Ovis aries: one gene and its partners. The protein of the gene in region 2 interacts with the protein of the main gene of each other region in a pairwise test. Links are inferred from orthologs where the notes say so. Each region holds a gene or a part of one and is shown on either strand. Other genes may lie near its edges.

Region 1 (7,033 bases), on a different chromosome or scaffold from region 2:
GAATTTAATTAAAAGTTACTTAAATTAAGATTAAACATTAAAAGATATCTATGCAATTTCAATGTGTGGACCTTATTTGCACCTTGACTCAACCAAAAAAAAGTGACATTTATGGGACAACTGGAAATGTGAAAAAGGGCAGATTTTGATGACATTGTGACTATTCTTTTTCTAAAAAAGTAAAATAATGGCATTGTGTTACATCAATTTTATGCTAAAATATTTATGGATACAGTGTCTAGGACTTACCTCAAAATGATACGGGAGGGATAAACAGATAACGTATAAATGGAACGAGATTTGCCATGGGTATGTGGGAATGCCATTATTCTGTTCTGCTTATTTTTATATGTGCTTGAAATTTCCTTAACAAAACTTTAAAAAAAGCCAATTTTATACAGCCACACTTGGTCTGAAAATCCGCAAATCATGTACAGAAATTCACTTACTCAGGTGTTTGTTCTAATGATATCTCCTTAGAGACGCTTCCTTCCTAACACCCTTAACACTTTCCATTCTCTGTGCTTTGTCCTTCGAAGTACTTAATTATCATAAATTAACTTGATTATTTATACAGTCTCCCCATATTAGACTGTAAACTTCCATTTTTTCACTACTGAATTGTATAATCTACACTTGGAACTGCCTGGCACACAGTAGGCACTCAAAAGGCATTTGTTTAAATGATACTTTAACACTTAAGCAGTAATCACGATGACAGATGATAACTAGACTAAATCCTTTCACAGTATACACCAACTGTATCAAGTCACTGTTCTACACCTGAAACTGCTACGCCAATTTTATCTCAGTCAGTATACATTTCATTAAATGGCAGAGCCAGGATTAGAACTCAGATATTTGTGTGGACATAAGTTTTTACGTCATCTGGGTAAAGAAGAAGAAGCATGACTGGTGCATCCTAAGGTAACATGTTTGGGAATTCAGCCGTTCTAACAGGCATATAATGTTATATCACTGTATCCATGTATGCATGCACATATGTATCAATATTTATGCAAGCCACTTGCTGAATCTCAGTTCCCCGACCAGAGACTGAACCCAGGCCACAGCAGTGAAAGCATCGAAACCTAACCATCAGGCCACCAGGGAACTCCCATCACTGCTGTTTTAATTTACAACTGACTGATGATATATATCTTTTCATATACTTATCTGCCACCTTCTTTGGTGAATCATGTGTTCAGATTAAAAAACAGGTAAAGGTTCTTTCTTTGTTATTGTTGACTGTTAAAAGTTCTTTATAAATTTTGGATATCAGCCCTTTGTCTGGTATGTGTTTTGTCAAGATTTCCTCCCAGTTTGTGGCTTGTCTTTCATTCTCTTAATAATGCCTTTCAGAGAGCATAAGTTTTTGCTTTTTAATTTTTAATAAAGTCCAACTTACCAATTTTTTTCCTTTCATACATTATTCTTTTTATGTTGTACCTAGAAAGTTACCACCAGACCTAACGTCACCTAGAGTTTCTATTTTACCTTCTAGGAGTTTTATAGTTTTACATTTGGGTCTATGATTCTTTTTTTTTTTTTTTCAATGTGTGGTTGTCCAGCTGTTCCAGCAGTGTTACTTGAAAAGACCATCCTGGGAATTTCCTGGAGGTTCAGTGGTTAGGACTCGACACTTTCACTACATGGCCCGGGTTGAATCCCTGGTCAGGGAACTAAGATCCCATGAGCCGCAGAGTAAAGCCAAAAAACAGAGAAAAAGAAAAAAGGACTATCCTTTCTCCATTTAACTGCCTTTGCCCCTTAGTCAAAGATAAATTCATTACACTCATGGGGCTTTACTTCTGGACTCTATACTCTGTCCCATGGATCTGTCTGTTCTTTCACCAAAGACCTGCACACAGTGTTTACAGCTGCTTTATTTATAAACTGCCAAAACATGGAAGCAACCAAAATGTCCTTTAATTGGTGAACAGATAAACAAACTGTGGCACATTCATAAAATGGACTACTACTCAGCAATAAAAAGAAATGAGCTATCAAGCCATGAAAAGACATGCAGGAACATTAAACGTATATTGCTAAGTGAAAGAAATTAATACTAAAGTATTCTAACTATATGACATTCTGAATAAGGCAAAACTATGGAGACAGTAAAACAGATCAGAGGTTGCCAGAGATTCAGGGGGATAAAGGGAGGGACGAATTAAGTGGAACCCTGGGGATCTGAGGGCAGCAAAACTTGTATGTGATACTGAATTGTAGGTACATATTATACACTGTCAAAAGCCACAAAATATACAACAGAACTCTAATGTAAACTACAGACTTAAGTTAACAACAAGGTATCAAATACTGGCTCCTCGATGTTAACAAATATACTACACTAATACAAGATACTAATAACAGGGGAGACACAGTGTGATGGAATACATGGAATTCCTTGTATATTCCACTTAGTTTTCCTGTAAACCTAAAACTGCTCTTAAAGAATATATTATTTTAAAAAATTATAATAAACAGCTCTGGTGAGCCATGCCCCTCCATACTGAGCCAAGCAGCACAGAGACCGACGCTGGGGCCTGCGATTTACAGCCTCCTCACCCACATGCTATTATCACAGCAAGCCACACAAGCAGCTTATCTTTTTTAAACCCAGGTTCAAAAGACATCCAAGGACTAGGAAGATTCTTACCAAGTGGAGTGACTCGGGGCTGAACGTCCTTCAGAACTTCATGCAGCCACTCCGTGAATCGAACATAATAAAGATCGGAGAAAATGTCATCAACCCGTCCGTTCTCAAAAAGATACTAAAAGGAAAATAATCAATAAAAGCTGTTGGTAGACTCTTGACAAGATGCTGAGGGAAGCAAACAATTACGAGCAGTACCCTCACATCTCCCTACCCGTTCGTCCCCCATTAACCAACCAGCACACTGAGTCAAAACCGCCCAGTGCGCGGCACTTCCACAGCATACTTCAGGATGGGAACTAACTCTCACAACACTCTTGAGAGTTGGCCAATGGAGCAGATTTCATGAATGCTACTTCACCCAAGCAAGGCACTGTCTTATGGTAGCAAAAAAGCATGATGCAGGCTCCAGGGCCAGTCTCTTACCAGCTACGGTGTAAGTTATGTAACTCATTTGAGTCTTGTAACTTTGGGGGCTCAGTGTCCTTGTGTGTAACTGGAGATGACTATGCCTGCCTTGCATGAGTGAGAGAGCATGGAATGAGACAAAGCACATACACTAATTCACCCAGTGCTCCCAGTGACTGCTAAAACAGACTAACAAAATGGGAGATGGGTTTTTCTCGGGCCCAAGCAACAGGGTGAGTCCCAGTCAGCAAGTGTTCTTCCATCACACCACGGGCTTCTCTACAATAGCATTCAAACACCAGGAAATCCCCATCTGGTCTCTGAAACTGCTGGTCCTAAAATGAATCTCCCTGTTCATCTTCATCTTAGATATCCTGAAAACCTAACTACAGTTGTATATTTTAGCTAGACTCTTTCAAATAATTATTTTGCATTAATGCAGGAAACAATGAGAAAATGAACTATATGTCAGCACCAGACTGTTCTGGAAAAATTGCTTTTCTGAAAACTAGATGTTTACTTTAACAAAAAGTGTTACATAAATGTTTCATAATTTTTTTTAAAAAGTCTCTAATGTAATATATCATATATTTTAACAAACATTTCTCTAGATTGAGGGATTATTTTATTATCTGATTTTCTAAAGTGAACATGTAGATCTTTTCCAATTTAAAAATAAAATGTACATTTAAAAACATTTCCAACTTTTAAAAAATGTACATTTAAAACCTCATTATATAGTTGGAAGAGAGTATCTTTACTGTTACCACTTTTGACATATTACTAATTTGACTACGCAGCAAATACCCAATGGGAACACAAGGCAAACAGGTTCCTACGCAGCTCGGTTCCCTACCTTTTGAATACACAGGAAAATGTAGTACAGCACATCTGGGTCATAGGGGTCACCTTCTCCATTTCGAGCTTCCCGTGTCATCAGACAGAGCCCATAATTCAACTCAGCCACAGCAGAGGAGATGAGATCTTCCTGGAATCGTAGCAACTGACGCCCTACAACATAAGTCCCAAAGGTCAGTGAGGGTCCTGGCAACAGTCATTTCCTTACTGGTTTCTCATATCCCTGGAAGGAGGTTACAGAGCAGACACCACCACCCATCAAGGCGCTGGGGTGAAAACAATCACTTGAATCTGTGATCAAAACTAACCTACAAAGACAATAATCCTGTTTGCCCTGTTACTAAAAGGGTTCCCGTCCCATCTCACATATCCCCCAATTATTAGGGCCACGAAATGAAAGCAAAAACACAAAACCCACCCTCTGTAATACGAGGAAGTATATGAGGATAATGCTAAGTAAGAGGCGCCCTAAGAACACTCACCAGCTCCTATCTCCTCCCAGAAGTCTCTGATCTTGGGCACACCCCACAAATCCTGCTCGTTTATAGCAGGTCCAGCCTGCCTCTTGTCTTGGATCCAGCACACTATTTCAGATGGAGCGCCCACATGCCCAGAGCCAAGAGATACACTTTCCTGCCATCCGTGCTCCTGCTGCTTCAGTGCCACTGCATTTCACACACAGTCCAACCCCCCTGCCCTCCAGAACACTTACTCCCAATGGGTGCCAGTCTGTTCTGAGCATCCTTCTCAAGCTCAGCATTCTTGGTCTGTGCCCAGTTTTTCCACACTTCAAGCCCTTCTTCTGGCTTCAGAGAATTTGGAAGCAGAAGTTCTGGTGAAGGCTGTGGCTGTGACTGGGGTTCAACTTCAGCAACCTGGACAGTTTGAGCCTATGAGAGAGAAATCATCAAAACGTGTCAATAGGTCGTTTGACAAAACAGCCAGAAAAATGCTATAACTCTTTTAACTAAAAAGCTGCTCTTCTGCTTGCTCTCCTAAACTTTGGAGTCCTGTTCTTTACTTCAGAGACAGCAAACGCTAGTACAAAGCTTCTTAATCTTAACTGTACTTTTGACTCTCTTATTTTAAAACACCAATACCTGAGCTCCACCCCAGAATCTCTTTTTAAAGAGGTATCAGTCTTTTTAAAATCTTCCCATGTAAAAAGGCAATTCTAATGTTTAGTCACTGCCCAGAGCTACTGGCAAAAAGCACTGCTCATCAACTACAATGTGCAAATAAATTTTATTAAAACGTGGATTCCGATTAGAAAGATCTCAGATGGGACCTGAGATTCTGCATTGCTAAGAAACCCCCAAGGAAGGGAGCTGGTCTTCAGACTACACTTTCTGTACCAAGAGTCCAGACTGTTAAACTTGGTTGCACCTTAAAATCATCTGGGCTGCTTTTAAAAAATATCCATGTCTGGGCCTTGTCCCTAGGGGCCCTGATTTACTTGGTCTAAGCTGGCGGCCTGCAGTCAGTACTTTTAAAAGCTCTCTTGGTTATTCTAATGTCCAGTCATGGCTGAGAATCATCATGTTTCTTCTTAATAATACTGCTTTGGCTCATAAGGACATTTTCTGAAGACAGGAAGCAATGTCTGAGCTTCCCACCTCCAAAGAGCAGTCCCATTCTCCATGGTCTGAGAGCTGAACTGTGCAGACAAAAGGACAGAGAATGTCCATGACCCTCAATCACAGTCCCCATTAGGCAGGACAGACACCAACACAGATACAAAGCACAGGTTCTTGGGTCTCACAAACCGGTCTAAATTGTAAAACAAATTCCCTAGAACAATTTTCTATTCCAGGGCCTACCTAAAGGGCTGACAAATGCCAAATCATTCAACTTGGAGGCTAAACAATGAATATATGACACATACATTTGCTTATCAATCAATAAAAATAAAAACTATCCAACTAGCTTTGATACAAGATACACTATTAAACAAGGAGACAACCAAATACCAGTGCCAGACTCTTAAACGTCTGTCAACCCTGGAGCTCCCCTCCAGACACACTTCTCAGTTCAACCACCATTCTTCTTGGTGAGTCTCCAACACCTGCCATTAGGATCTCCATGTTTGTGGAAACGGTTGCTAACTATGTGCCTCTAAGCTAGATCACGCCTTAATACACTCAATGGGTACTGTGTATCTCTGACTGAATATCTCAAAACCACCTCAAACTACTATCTAGGGAGAGAATTCATCGCTTTGCCCACCCAGAAGTATTCTCCTCAGACTTTCCTCCCTGTTGTTCAATGGCAACACTACCTACCCAAGTAGGAAAGCTAGGAGTCGACAGGATTAGCAGACGAGAGCAGTGCTTCTCTGTCTTAGCAGCCAGATTCTCTTCAGTGTGCCCCCACTCACTAAATGTAACACTCCCAACCACCTTGACAACCAAAATTCTTCCACACACATTCAAATGTCTATCAGTGGGTAAGGGAAATAGAAGTTTCATCCAGGTTAAAAACTACTGATGCAAGCACACCCCTGGTGTAGAGTTTTTCCTATTTACAATGGAGCCCTTAAAGAGCTGGGAAGTGATATAATCCTACATTTTAAGAATATTATTCTTGATCTATAGAAAATGGAATAGTGGAAGTAGGTGCTGGTGGCCAAGACCAGGATGGTGGCAGTCAAACGATTTAAGAGATTCTGATATGGTGGCAGAACCAACATGGCTTGTTGATGAACTCATTGTGAGGAGGAAGGGAACGCAGACTCAAGGACTCTGGGTCTCTGGCTTACATAACTAGGTAGATGACGGTATCATTTTCTGAGATGAATAGTTTTTCATAGTGGTAGAGGAGATGCTGATGAAGAGCTGAGATATCTTTAACAAATGCAAGTAAATAATAAGTGGGCTGCTGAACGTATAGTAAGGGTCTGAAGGGGAAAGGTACAGTCTAGTGATACAGAGCTGTGCGTCACTGCAGTACATGGACTGCACACAGGTTAACACATGGGCTTAGGGGCCCACCTATCCAAGGCTGAATGTCAACTCTGTCACTTGCTAAAAGGTGACTTTAATCTCTGTACCTCAGTTTCTTCATTTGTAAAATGGAGACAGTAGTACATACCTCTTAAGGTTGGTGTGA
Region 2 (6,596 bases):
CATGAGGTTCTGAGTGAACCTGTCACTGCTGAGCTACGCTAAAGACGAGACTTCAATCTGAAAACAAATGCTATATTCATGATTTCTATACCCAAATGCTCCTAAATCCATCACAATCTCTAGAGTCTGACTTAGCTTAACTGAAAATGATTCATCCAAACAGGTCATGGTAGGCTCAAGATTCTTCAACCTTAGTTTAGGTTGTAAAGAGCTTTTTCTATAACTGGAGTCAATAAGAATTTCTCTGTTAGAGAAAGCAGAGGTTTCCACCTTAGGCAGACTGCCAAGATGGTACTTTATTACAGAATTTATGAAGCTACAGTTTAGTAACTTGCAGGTTTTATGAAAAGAAATCAAAAAAAGAAAGAAAAGGGGAACACTACCCCACCAAAACTTTCTAGATTTTTTTTTTAAGTGCAAGAAATGCTGTATCACTGAAGCACTTGAGAATTATCATGAAATCCTAGCCAAAAATGTAATCACCTCAGAAGTGGTAATAAAAAAGAGAAACAACCAGAGAGGCACACAGATTGCTTTTTGTTTGTTTTTTTTAAAAGGATTTTTATACTATATTAAAAAACCACAAAATAAAAAAGGGATCAGTCAACATATATCTTAGAAGTCTTACAGAGTCTCTGCACCCACAGCCATGAAGGCCCCTGACGCCTTGCTCTTCTCTGCTCAGTCTGCACCTCGATGAAGGACCGCTGGAGATGACTCAGGCTCTAGTTTTTAAAATCAAACTTGTTCTGCCAAATCCAGGACCCTGAATTTATCCAAATTGTAGAAACATGCTTTGACCACCCGTCCACCAAAATACCTCCCATTCAGATCAACAACAGCTAAAAGGCAAACAAAAAGACAGTTAGTTAAGGCAGGAATTCCACGAGACATTACAACAGTATGTCTTCAAAATATTAAGATCACAAGTTCAACTTTTTAATTCTTCATCATTAGCTGTACAGCTTACCTTTAATTGCTGACTCAACCCTCTCGAATTCTAAAAATATTCGTACTGCTTCATCATCAGGGGCACCAGGAATCTGGAAAAGAAATGGAGTACAGTAAGTAAAGATATCATCAGAGATGTCACGGACTGTGAGTTTTCCTCCGTAAAATGATTTTTGTCAGAGTGAGTGTTCCAATTCCAGACAAGCAGTGCTCAAATGCCAAAGACGTAAGTGTAATCTGCGTTTGTGTGTGCATGTGCACACTCAGTTGTGTCCAACTCTTTGTGACCTCATGGACGGTAGCCCACCAGGCTCCTCTGTCCATGGGATTTGCCAGGCAAGAATTCTGGGATGGGTTGCCATTTTCCTTTTCCAGTTAAGTGTAATTTACTTGTCATCAAAATTCACTGAACGTCTTTTTTTTGGACAGGCTGTGTGCTAAGTGCGAGCAAAAGGCAGCTAAACAAGACCTCTGCAGGTCCTATGCCATCAGACACATGAACAGATAATTATGCAGTCAACAGACGCAACCCAGCATGGAGGAGAAGCTGAGGTGAGCAGGAACTAAAATAAAACATCTGTATGCTGTCTCTCATACCAGGCTGAGTTCCTCTGTTAAGCTTTCTAGGCCCTGCTGCACTGTGTAAGCTAATCCCCACCACACCCACCACCGTGCAGCCCTCCCCAGTCTCCAGAAGCCATGACCCTATGTGAAGGCCCGTTCCCTCCTACCCAAATCCTACGCACACAGTCCAAAGCTCCGCTCACATCTGATACTGTTCACAAAGCCTCCTCCAACTATTCGGTATTGATCTAAGTCTTCTCTCAAATTCCTGTACTTGTAAGTCAGTGTTGAGTCTAGCAACTGAACACTCTCTAACTTCATGTTTCTTCAACTGAGTGTGTCACCGAGAGCACAGGAGGCCCCTCCCTGACCCCAGGACAGTCAGTACCGGTATGTGGGAGGCACTACATAAAATACCTGCCAAAAGAAGGAAGCCCAAGGCACATGTGACGCCCGTCAGTAAACTACTGAGCCCACTGTCATCAAGTCTAAACGTCAGTCACAAAATGAAATGTCTCTTCACCAAATAAAATTTGAAGTTCTTCTTATGCTAATATCTGAAATTGCAATAACTGAGTAAAAGCAGTATAACTAACCAACACATGTCACCTTCTAAAGACAGTATGTTACTTACAATGCATCCTCTATTTACAGAAAATGCTTTGTGACCTATCAATCATAACTTGGGTTATAAACAAAGAAATCTCTCTTACTTCAAATATCACACATTTTCCAACTTTGCCATATTTCTCACACTCTTCCTTGGTTTCTACTTCCAAGTCTTCATCCACCTCTCCTGCACCAACCATGTTCTAGAAACAAAAATAAACATATAAATTCCAGTACTGAGTATAATTGACAACTATGTCAAAGAGATGTATAAGTAACTTTTTTCCAAGATGGCAAATGTTTCCAAACCCAAATGATTCAAAGAAAATTTTCATTCCTGAAATATCCTGAAGTAGGTTAGTTTTTTTAAAAAAATTAAAAAATATACATTAGGCTTCAATAAGAGTTACCAGAGCAACTGGGCAAGCACCAGAATACACAAACCAAGCTGAATTTCTGACAACTTCAAACATTTTAAAGTAATTTCTCACTGTAGTCTTAAATACTAATGTTTAGCAAAGAAACACTAGTGAAAAGGAATCTAAAAACCAGTCTTCCAGGGAGTCTTCCCACAATTACCACCTTCAGTTCGCTTCAGCTATCCCATCATCAGCCGGGCTGACTGATTGCAGGGACAGGGTGGGGGGAGGGACACAGGGCAAACAGGGCTCCTCCCTCAGCTCCTTACCCTGAGTAGGACCACTTTGGTAGGACACTTAAGTATTTCAGTTAATGGATTTGAATCTGACTTCTTGGCTGCGTCTGTAAGAAAACATCATCAGACAGAAGTGTCAGGGCACCAAGTCTAAGTTACAACGAGCAATTTACTTTGAACACCAATCCCCACTCTCTATGTCCTAGAGCCAGCATCTACACAGTCTCTGAGCCAAGATGTAGCCTTTCCTATCCGAAAGCATCACTTTACTTTGGTATAATTTTTACCATAAATTCTAGAACTTTTTAATATCCTCAGGTGCATTTTTGCTTAGCTCACTTCCTAAAGGGCCAACAGGGCACAGTGATCACCACCCTCAGAAGCGAGTCTTGACTCAGGCAGTGGTCAGAGGTCGTGAGCCCAGTGTAAACGAGCAGTTCATCAGCCAGCCGTGAGCTGACCAGTGTCAAATACCCCCACAGACTGGGCTGACTGCTGGTTTCTGGTTCCAGCCTGTGAGGCTTAGTGCTGCTTCAAGCTCGACGTCAACATGCCTGGCAGGAAAGTTCTCTTCCTTCTTCAGGAAAAAGCATTCAGCTAAGACTGATTCAAAACTACGGAGTTCTCCTGCTTGAAGTGCTAAATCATGCCTGACTCATTCCAGCGTGCCCTCACTACAGAACAGACTGTAACAGTCAAATGAAAATAGAACACCAAGCAGGCATCACCTACCAGAAGACTGCAAAATAATGCTAGTTTTACAGAGCAGTCAGTAAGAAAATTAGGATGAAAGGGCAGAAAAAAGCAAAAAGCAGAGAACCCTTACAGAATAGAGATACAGCAGAAAGAATTACTGATATACTGCGTATGGCTCTGCGTTGCTATAAAAACTCAGTAACGGTTCTATCAGTATAACAAGGCTCTTTCCCGAGGAGAAGCAGGCATGACAGGATTTCTGGAGTCCTGTTCATTGCTGCCAAAGCCTCTCGTCTTCTTTTCCTCCCACAGGCGTTCTGTCTCTCTGTCTTGAACTATTTGTAAAGATGGGCCTCAGAACTGTTTCCACCACCCAGAGCTGGAAGGCATCACGATGAGGAATTCTCTCATTCAGGATGGCCTGCCCCCGCCCACACCCCCAGGAGCCCTGCCCGAGGGGAGGCCCACCTTTCTCGGTGGCATCGCCCACGATGATCTTGCCGCCCCGCTTGCTGGTCTTCTCCACCGACAGCGCTGTACTCAGACCCTGCTCATGCTTCCCGAGACCCTGGCCTTCCCGGAAGCCATACTTCTGCATGATTTTATGTGCTACCGTGCCCCTGCGAGGAGGAAAAGGAGAAAGGTCCCTGTACTTGGGCCATCAGCTACAGCACAGATTGGATTTTACATCACAGTAATCTCCTTCCGGGAGGAGAGAATGTAGATTCCACAAGGGCGTTGATGATGCCATTTATCTACTAACGGGCTAAGAGACAGAAGTTGTGGGATGTTCAGAAGACAGATTAAAAAGTGGATGCTGGAATCCTGGGTGCACTGAGATTACCTCTGAGGTGAAGGAAACACTAGTTCCTCTGGTAAGAGCTCCCCAGGGAACTGCATTTTCTGTTAGAAAATACCAGACTTCCTGGGTGCCCCTGTACCTGCTCTGCTACAAGGCTCATAACCAATTTAAGTAATCCTGTCAAAAACTAAGTATAGTCTCATGTAATGAAGATGACTGCATTTTTCTAAGTAGTACAGAAGAGTTTCCAATGACTGGCTTCATAAATGAAGGATGCTTAAGGACTATCTGTTTAATAGATGGAAATAAAGAAACTGGGGCCCACAGTGGCTGCCTCGCTTAAGGCTGACTGACAGCAAAGCAAGACACCACATGTTGGTATTAACAGCAGGACTGAAACTGAAACCCGCAGCTCTGAATTCTTAGTCCACTGCTCTTCCTCTAATCAGTAACAGCTTTCAAACTACACAGGGAGGAGCCTCAGGGGCACTGACCACTGCTTCTTAGGGCCTGAACCCCAAAACCCTGCTTCAACCCGAACTGTTCCGTTCAGCTCAGTCGCTCAGTCGTGTCTGACTCTTTGCGACCCCATGAATCACAGCACGCCAGGCCTCCCTGTCCATCACTAACTCCCAGAGTTTACCCAAACTCATGTCCATCGAGTCAGTGATGCCATCCAGCCATCTCATCCTCTGTCGTCCCCTTCTCCTGCCCTCAATCCCTCCCAGCATCAGAGTCTTTTCCAATGAGTCAACTCTTCGCATGAGGTGGCCAAAGTATTGGAGCTTCCGCTTCAGCATCAGTCCTTCCAATGAACACCCAGGACTGATCTCCTTTAGGATGGACTGGCTGGATCTCCTTGCAGTCCAAGGGACTCTCAAGAGTCTTCTCTAACACCACAGTTCAAAAGCATCAATTCTTCAGCATTCAGCTTTCTTCACAGTCCAACTCTAACATCCATACATGACCACTGGAAAAACCATAGCCTGGACTAGACGGACCTTACCTACGTTTTTCACATACGTAATTTCCTTAAATATTTCATTTGAACAAGTTGTTCCAGGGCTAAAAAGACTGAAGACTGATAACTGTACTATACTGTACCTTCTTTAGGCATAAAGATTTAATACCTTTCTCTTGCCAGTAATAAGGCAATTTTTTTCACCAGCAAAAAAACAAAACCAGCCCCCAGTGATGTCACGCCTGTGCCCCTTCAGTACACTCCAGGACAGCCCAACAGGCTTCTCTCCAATGAGGGGAACATCCTCTGTCTGCACTGCCCAGGGCAGTAGCTGTGAGCTTTGTGTGGCTACTGAGCACTCGAGACTAGCGTGAGGAAAGAAATATATGCTGAACTCTATTCACGTTCAATTACTTCAAGAGCCCTGAGTGGCCAGGAGCCCCCAGAGAACAGCACAGGTCAAGAAGACAGGTATCAAGATGAGAACTCCAAATCCTCTCACAGCGTGTGAAGAACCCTGGCCCGCTCCTCAGCTCTGGCCAGCCCGGCCCCGAAGGAGCGAAGGCAGAATCAAAGCGCTCACATAGGCGAGGGCAGACCAGAGAGGCCTCTGCAGACACAGCCTCTCCATCAGAGGCGCCCTCCTTCTAGAGGACAGAGAGCAAAGGCCTCAGCGCAACGCTGCTCCACTGCCACCCCCCAGAGTGCTAGCGGAATAAACAATACACAACACTCTCTTAACCAAAACACATGCCAAATCCAGCAAGTCCTAAAAAGCCCCACAAGCCCCACCCGAAGTCAACCTTAAAACTGATTTTCAAACACTGGCAAACAAATTTCTAATTATAAGTAGAATAACTGAAAGTTTTTATACCAAAAGTATAATAGACTCATGACCTTAAAGCAAAGGTCATTTTATCAAGAAAAAAAAAGGATGTCATTCATCTTTTGGACATAGTGTAAGTCAGGTCTAATTCGTATGAGCTGTTTATTTGCAAATGTTCTGAAAACAATTATAGATAACAATCAGAAACTGTTCCTACCTAGAGAATATAATGTTCAGCATCCTAATCACTCAACACTTCTGATAGAAAGCTTGTAACAAAAGTTTTTTAACAGGGTGGTGCTGCAATACCCTCCCAGTGACTCAAGCCTTGATCCGTGTGACTGAGCATGCCACGCTCTCCTTGTAAACCCGCTAAAGCCCTCATCTCCAAACGCGCTGCATCCACTGGAAGGTCTGACCACACCACCCCTGCCCCCCTAGAGTCCCACCCTCCCTGCACCCGCCGAGGCGCAAGTGCCCGGACCATTACCCCATGTTGGCGAGGAAGGAGTTGCCAGGGCCGGTTGGGGAT
Region 3 (7,601 bases), on a different chromosome or scaffold from region 2:
CCTCGGCTGGCCCACCAGCGGAGCCTCGAGGGACTCCTGCGGCCACCGGCACACCACCTGCCCAGGGCGGAGCCTCGTCCCTCCCAACCCCAGCCAAGCTGGGGATCGCCTCGGACAGCCAGCCGTTCTTCAGCAGCCTCCCTGCACCTCGCCCGCGGCCCTCCAGACCCCTCGGCCCCGCGCTCACACCTCCTCACAGATGCAGTGCGGTCACCAGACCCGCTCGGGGGAGCAGACGGCCACCCAGAAGCCACGCTGGTGACGGGGCGAGGCTGCTCCCTGTCTCCCACCCGCGGCCCACCCTGGTGACGGGGCGAGGCTGCTCCCTGTCTCCCACCCGCGGCCCCCGGCCCTCCACCGCAGGGCAGCCGGCGAGCCCTCCCCATGGTCTGTTCATCAGCGACTGAGAGGGAGCGCGGGAAGGTGGGGACCTGCCAGCAGTCACACAGGCTCCCCCTAGAAAACTGAGCGTGGCCAGGCACAGAGCTTAGGGGGTCCTGGGCCCCGTTAAGGACCCTGGGGCGCAGTGATCCCGAGTACTGCAGACCAGACCCCCAGAAGACTCGGCATTCCTCCACTGCCCCCCACCCCGCAGCACAACTCCTGAGAAGACCCACCATCACCCGGGACAAGCGCCAAACTCAGTTTCCTCAGTCACCCCGAGAACGAGCCAAGCCCTGCCTCAATGACTTCTCGGGTTAAACGGTCCAGGCCACACTGAGACCCTGGGGTCCGGGCCCTTGGCAACGAGCCCCGCACCCCGCCCCAGGCCCACCTCGGCGGGCGATCTCCGCCTTCAGCAGCGCCTCCATGGCGTCGGACTCAGCCAGGTCCAGAGGCAGGTCCCCGTCGCTGTTGACCGCAGCGATGTTAGCTCCATGGCTCAGGAGGTACCTGGGGAGGTAGGGGCGGGCCGCGGTCAGGACGGAGGCATCCGGGCCGCATGCCCAGCGGGCCGCCCACCCTCCCCACCTCACCTGGCAATGTCCAGGTAACCGCAGGAGGCGGCCACGTGGAGGGGCGTCCAGCCCTCGTTGTCCGCCTGGTTCACTGTGGCACCCTGCTCCACCAGGAAGCGCACCACCTCAAGGTTCTCGTCGATGCAGGCCTGGGGGGCATGGTCGGGGGTCACCCTCACCACCCCGGACCCCTCCGCGTGCCTTGCAAGGCAGGACCCCGCCAGGGCCTCGAGGGGGACCCAGGGCCGACCGAGCAAAGCTCCAGAGGAAGACCCCAAGGTCCCTGGAAGGCACCATGTCCGCAGGGCACCCCCAGCCCTGCGCAGCCTGGCTTCCCGGTGGCCACGCCAGGCAGGCCTCTGGGGCTCACTGGGGACCGTGAGAGGAGGAGCTGGCCAGAGAGGAGAGGAGCTGTAGGGATCCTGAACCATGCTTGTTCACGAGACGCACCCCAGTCACCATGGAGGATGGGCCCCCAGAGCTGAACCCAAGGGAAGAGACCCAGGCCCTCCTCCTCAGACCCAGCAGACTCTCCAGGAGAGCTGACCACCACCCTGCCGTGTCCCTGGTAGGGAGACAGCCGGACCCTGGGGCCCAAGGCCATGCGGGGTCCCCAGGCCCCTGCGAACCTGGGAGTGGGGCGGGGCGGTGGTGAGGGCCCTGGGCAGGACCCCGACACTGGGAGAGGCGGCTGAGAGAGGGTGTGCCCAGGCCTGGGCCCGAGGAGAGGCACAGGGCCCCCCATCATGGGCGTCCACGGGCACCTTCCCCACTGAGGGCTGTGAGGATCCCCTCTGATGGAGGAAGAGATCCCAGCCCCAGGAGACCAAAGCCCCTGCCCGCGCTAGCGCAGCAGGCTGGGCCAGAGAAAGGGTTTTGCCCAGGGCGCGTGCAAACACGCGGCGGGCACTGGGCCTGAGCAGGGCTGAGGAACGGGAGTGGACCTGGCCTCCTGGGTCCTCAGGGGAGATCAGTCTCCGACTCCCTCACCTCTCCACGGCCGGCCGCCTGGAGCAAGGGGAGGAAGCTACGAGGGCCAAGAGCATGAAGTCATGGAAACTCAGGCTGCGAAAGGGGGGCCACACATGCCCTGGGAACGGGATGAACTCTGGGCACCGTTTATTTCCACCAGTTGCCATGGTGATGGGGGGGGGGGGCAAGGAGGGAGACAGGCCTTTCCCTTTCAAGGACCTGGCCGGGCACAGGCATCCGTGCGAAAGATGTCTGCGTCCTGGGCCCCAGGGACCAAGAATCCAGGCCCCACCCTCCTCCTCAGACCTGGGGGTCCAGGGTCCCCACCACTCCCCCCTCAGACCCGGGGGGTCCAGGCCCCACCCTCCTCCGACCTGGGGGTCTAAGTCCCCCGCCCCTCCCCCCTCAGACCTGGGGGTCCAGGCCCCCCACCCCTCCCCCCTCAGACCCAGGGAACCTAGACTCTCCGACCCCCTCCCTATTTACACCTAAGAATCCTGGCTCACAGTCCTTCCTATCCCAGACCCCAGTTGCTAATTACCAGGTAATCTGGGGATGAGGCAGCCTATACCGGCCTTGTCACCTTGTCGAGGGGTAGGGGCTGGGATGTGAGACCTCCTGGGGTCACAGCCAGAGCAGGGAGCTGATGCCAGGGGACCTGCTCCAGGGGGAACAGAAACCACGGCTGCCGGACTCGCCCAGACAACATGAGCAACTATCCCGCGGGCCTGTCCGGGGGTTTCCTGGGACCTGGGACTTTCTGAGCTAAAACGAGGCCAGTCTTGGGCAAACTGGCACAAGCTGGTCAGCAAACACCCAGACCCAAAGCCCCGCTCCCCTGCTCGCTCACTGGCTGGGCGACTCCCCTTCTCTGCGCCTCAGATGGATGCCCTGATCCCCTCCAGGCCTCCCGCAGAGCCCTGGCGAGTGACTTCCTCTTGCCTATAGCAGGAGGCCGAGAGGGATCCCAGGGTGGCCTTCTGCCAGGCAGGGTCTGGGCCAAGGGACAAGCTGGGGAGCGCAACCCAGCAGGAAAGGTAGGGCCAGGAACGCCTTCAGAAAGGCCCCAGGGAGCCGGGGCAGGGATGGCAGTGCAGGAAGGGGACTCGGAAACCTGAGGCCCCTGTCCCAGGCGTGTCGAGCTCTGAGACCCTGCGGGACCTCAGGAAGGGGGACCCTCCTCTACACTGGGGCTCCTGCAGGGCACGGGCCTGGGGGTGCAGGTGGGGGAGAGACGGCACCTGGGCCAGGGGCTGCAACCACCAACTGGACAGGCACTTCCTGCAGGGTGTCCCTGCCAACCCATTCACAGGCAAGAAGCCCAAGGCACAGAGAAAAGACCCGCATTCAAAGCCACTCACTTGAGGAGCCGAGATCAGAGCTCAGGACTGGCCTACCTTCCTGAGCTGCTGCTCCTCCTGGGAAGCTGGCACGTGGGCCCTCCCGGCCTCCTCCGCAGCCCCCTGCTCCCTGCCCAGGTTTCCTTCCCTGGGTCCTCTCTGGGTCCCAAAGTAACCAAACCCTAGGGGTTCCGGCAGGGAAGAGAGGGTTGGGGACTGGACCAATTCGAGGAGACTAGGAGGGAGACAGCCTCGGGGACAGGGGTCCTCTGTGAACTGTGCCTGATGGCCCCACTGAAGAAAGGGGGGGTGGGGTGGGGGGCGACAGGAGCACCCCAAACCAGAGGGAACCCTGCTAGTGGGGCCTACGGTGGGCCTGGTTCTGGAACAGAAGAAGCTCAAAGGCAGTGGCCGGCGCGTCTGGGGAAGGCACGAGGGCCCAGGCTGTGGACAGAGGGGAGTAACCCGGCTCTGGACCTCTTGAGAAGGTGACAAGATGGGGGCTGGGAGAGAGGACACACTCTGCGGGAGGGAGGCGCTGCCCAGATTCACAGGAGGGGATCCAGGCAGAGAATGCAAGGTGACCAGAGGACAGAGAGGCAGCCCAAAGCCAGGAAGAGGTGGGTGCCAGAAAAAAAGGGGGGGTGATGATGCAGGCCTGGCCAAAGCAACAGGAGAGAGAGAGGAAGTTCCTGGAGGAGAAACACCCCTGGGAGAAGGCCTTGCCTTGGGAGGCAAGAGGTGGCACAGCCCCAGAAAGATAAATGACGGAGGGCATGAGGGTAAAGGGGGGCAGGGGAGACGGCCTGAGCTGACCCGGGCAAGGGAAGCACCCACTTCAGGAGTACAGAGCCTCGAAGGCGGGGGCTCAGGAAAGAACACCCTTAGATAGCAACAGATGGCACGGGCAGGGATGACAGGCGGCCCCACGCAGAGAGGCCGGGCGCCAGGGAGAACACAGGCAGGGAGGACGGCGATGGGGGTGGAAGGGTGGGGCAGTGGTACCTATGGGGGAACAGGAGGCACCGGTGGGGCTACAAGGGGCACAGACTCAGGAAAGAGGGAGGCCCAACTCCAGATGGCAGAGTCGAGGTGGCACCGGTGGCGATCGCACGGGCGAGACTCGCAGAGAGCCCCCAAGGTCGGGAAAGAGCACAGCGAAGTGACAAGACGGGGATGCACCGCGCTGAGGCCGGCAGCGACGGTTCGGGGCCAGGAAAGGGCGGCTCAGATTGGCAAAAGCCAGCGTCAGCTCCAGCGGCTCAGGGTCGGGAGAGGGGAGCCCCAGGTGGGACGGAGGGGAATGGGGGTCCGCCGCGGACGACGGCGCAGAGCAGGGCCGGCCGGGGTGCCTCCAGGCCGGGGAGGGAGGGTGCTCCGGGCGGCGCAGACCCGGGAGCTGACCTGGTGCAGGGCGCTGATGCCGTCGGCGTTGGTGGAGTCGAGCACGGCGCGGGCGGGCGGCGGGGCGGCGGGGTCCAGCTCTGCGCCGGGGCTGGGGTCGGCCGCGCGCAGCATCAGGCGCGCCTCGTCCAGGTCGCCGCCCGCGCAGGCCGCCAGGAACTCGGCGGCGCGCTCGAAGCGCACGGTGCGGGCGCGCCGCTCCCCGGGGCCCGGCTCGGCGCCCGCCCGCGCCCCCCACTGCCGCAGCTGCTCCCGCCGCCGCTCGCGGGCCGCTGCTGCCGCCGCCCCGGGGCCCGCCCCGGGGCCGTCCTCGCCCGACATCGCGCCGCCCGCCCGCCCGTGAGCGAACGAGCGAGCGAGCGAGCACCGAGCCCCAAGCTGCTGCTGCTGCTGCCGCCGCCGCCGCCGCCGCCGCCGCCCGCCCCCGGGCCGCCGGGAACTGCCGCCAGCCCCGCGCCGCCCAAGGATCTACCGGCACCCGCCCGGCGCGTGACGTCACCACGCCGCCCCGGGGCGCGCTGGGAAATGGAGTCCGCAGTCGGGAGAGGTCGTGGCAACAGCCTCAGAGAAGGCCGCGGGGCGCTCTGGGAAACGGAGTCCACAAGCGGACAACGGTCTCGGCCACATTCCGGCCTCGATCTGCCCCGAGGCACACTGGGAAATTCGCGGCTCAGCAGTTTCAAAAGGAAATCTGATTAAGAGGATGCCCCTGGGGGTGCTGGGAAATGTAGTCTAAAGGCCGGATATGTGCCCCGGGGCATGTGGGAAATGTAGTTCACAGTATCAAGGAACCCAAGCGGGAAACAGACTTGATAACCCGGGAGTCCTAAAAAATACAGAACTAATTTTTCCATACACCTTACCGCTTTCCTCATACCATGTGACTTACTTATTTTGGGTTTGTCTTATCCCTTCAACTAGAAATAAGCCCCTGGAGAACAGGGATTTTTGTCGTCTTGTGCATCCCTATTCCCATTGCCGAGACCTAATAAAACGCGATCGGGAAGAGGATTTTGAATGAATGAATAAATGAATGGATTCCCTAGGTCCTGAGAACCTCCAGATACTATGGGAAATTGAGTTCTCAACCCTTACACCAAGAAAATCCCTGGGCGACCGCCCAGGGCACCTTGGGAAGTAAAAATTACGGTACAAAGGTCACGGCAATCGGCCGCTGGGCACGCTGGGAAACGTAGTACTCGGGGCCACGACCCTAAAGGTACGGTTGGTCCAAAGCACCCCAAGTCCCTGATGGAACTCCTGGGTTACATCAAGAAGGGAACTCAAGAGGCAGGATCCGCAATAACAGCTCCTCAGAGCCTTCACCGGCCCTCCCCTCTACTCGCTACCATCTTGGGACGTGGAGCAGTCTGGGAAATGTAGTCCGGGCTGCTCGTCCTCGCAAGCCATGCTGGGATTTGTAGTCCAAGGCGAGGACTTTTTAATGGACGTGGAGGGGGAGTTGACTCATACATAACATCATAAAGCACGATGTGAGCCTCGTCTTAAGTACTCTGCACCTTAATCTTCATTGGGAAGGAAGCAAACACTCCGAGACTAGAGAAAAGACCTATAAAAATCACAAAGCTGCTGCGGCTTCTAAGTTGCTTCAGTCGTGTCCGACTCTGTGCGACCCCGTAGATGGCAGCCCACCAGGCTCCCCCGTCCCTGAGATTCTCCAGGCAAGAACACTGGAGGGAGTTGCCATTTCCTTCTCCAATGCATGAAAGTGAAAAGTGAAAGTGAAGTCGCTCAGTCGTGTGCGACTCCTAGCGACCCCATGGACTGCAGCCTACCAGGCTTCCCGGTCCATGGAATTTTCCAGCAAGAGTACTGGAGTGGGGTGCCATTGCCTTCTCCGAAAATCACAAAGAATGGCTCTGAAGTACAGAGGCAAGAGTTCTGTTTTCCAAGGGATGTCAGATCAGCTCTACCCACTCTAAAGTTCTTGGGCCTGTGCTAAGAGATAAAGGACAGATCCCGTGAAGTCTGGAGACCACTGGGATGGATACAAAAGGAATAGCAGTTCGGGTGGCTTTGGGGATGTGTAGCCCTTTCAATCCCACACTTCCCATTCAACGTATACACCCACCTTCTTCTTCAGGCAGCTTGAATGGTGTGTATGTTGTTAGGGTGTCTTCGGTTATCTGTGTCTCTCTAAAGTAAAAAGTGAAGTCGCTCAGTTGTGTCCGACTCTTTGCGACCCCGTGGACTGTAGCCCACCAGGCTCCTCTGTCCGTGGGATTCTCCAGGCAAGAGTACTGGAGTGGGTTGCCATTGCCTTCTCCAGAGGGTCTTCCTGACCTGTGCATAACTGTGATGTGTGTCTTTGTGGTTGTGTCTGTAGCCTGGTGTATACTGTTTTTGGAAGCTTGTGTTCATTGTGTCTATAAGCTGTGATGTAAATATGTCTATAGTTTTATGATTTTTATTTACAGGAGACACAGGTTAGAGTATCTGCTCAACCTACACAACCTACTATGGGACATGCTCCCACTGTAAGTTTCGTTAGCAATCTTTAGGTTGACTGCTGCGTTTAGACTTGAACCTCTGTTTACCACATTCTATTCTACTGCAATGGATAAGAATCCCAGCTCTGGTACAGGCATTCCTGGATTTGATCTTGTCTCTTGACACTTCCTAACTGTGGGGTCTGATCGAGGACCTAGGCTTAATCTCTTCATCTCTGCCTCCAGGAGCTGTTGCAACGGTGTACCTGGCCTGTCTCGTAGGCAGACGTTGGCTCTGTACAGACATTTTTATATTTTACTCATTACAATTCTCTTCTGCCCTTCTCTTTTCCACGGTGAGGGGTTTGGTTTTTTTTTTCACTTCTCAAGCCTGCTGTTTTCTCTCAATGCTAGCACTGGAATGTTGATGCTTAACCTCACAGCTGGTGAAAATAGCCTTGGAAAGATAACATGTT

Evidence for each region.
Region 1: the proteins of RBM17 (region 2) and QRICH1 interact in binary tests that used the Homo sapiens proteins (3 or more experiments, as listed by UniProt). The two-hybrid records come from large-scale screens. The link is inferred for Ovis aries from reciprocal best matches to the Homo sapiens genes RBM17 and QRICH1.
Region 3: the proteins of RBM17 (region 2) and PPP1R12C interact in binary tests that used the Homo sapiens proteins (3 or more experiments, as listed by UniProt). The two-hybrid records come from large-scale screens. The link is inferred for Ovis aries from reciprocal best matches to the Homo sapiens genes RBM17 and PPP1R12C.

Annotation. Positions count from the first base shown.
Region 1 is NC_056072.1:50,995,804-51,002,836, reverse strand, and holds part of QRICH1 (transcriptional regulator QRICH1), read right to left. Parts: intron 4,816-7,033; coding exon 4,638-4,815; intron 4,079-4,637; coding exon 3,924-4,078; intron 2,778-3,923; coding exon 2,663-2,777; intron 1-2,662. UniProt on the Homo sapiens protein: Transcriptional regulator that acts as a mediator of the integrated stress response (ISR) through transcriptional control of protein homeostasis under conditions of ER stress.
Region 2 is NC_056066.1:10,893,803-10,900,398, reverse strand, and holds part of RBM17 (splicing factor 45), read right to left. Parts: coding exon 6,555-6,596; intron 4,096-6,554; coding exon 3,944-4,095; intron 2,887-3,943; coding exon 2,813-2,886; intron 2,328-2,812; coding exon 2,229-2,327; intron 1,044-2,228; coding exon 971-1,043; intron 843-970; coding exon 739-842; 3' UTR 1-738. UniProt on the Homo sapiens protein: Splice factor that binds to the single-stranded 3'AG at the exon/intron border and promotes its utilization in the second catalytic step. Involved in the regulation of alternative splicing and the utilization of cryptic splice sites.
Region 3 is NC_056067.1:63,068,255-63,075,855, reverse strand, and holds the start of PPP1R12C (protein phosphatase 1 regulatory subunit 12C), read right to left. Parts: upstream 5,146-7,601; 5' UTR 4,997-5,145; coding exon 4,676-4,996; intron 1,109-4,675; coding exon 978-1,108; intron 895-977; coding exon 776-894; intron 1-775. UniProt on the Homo sapiens protein: Regulates myosin phosphatase activity.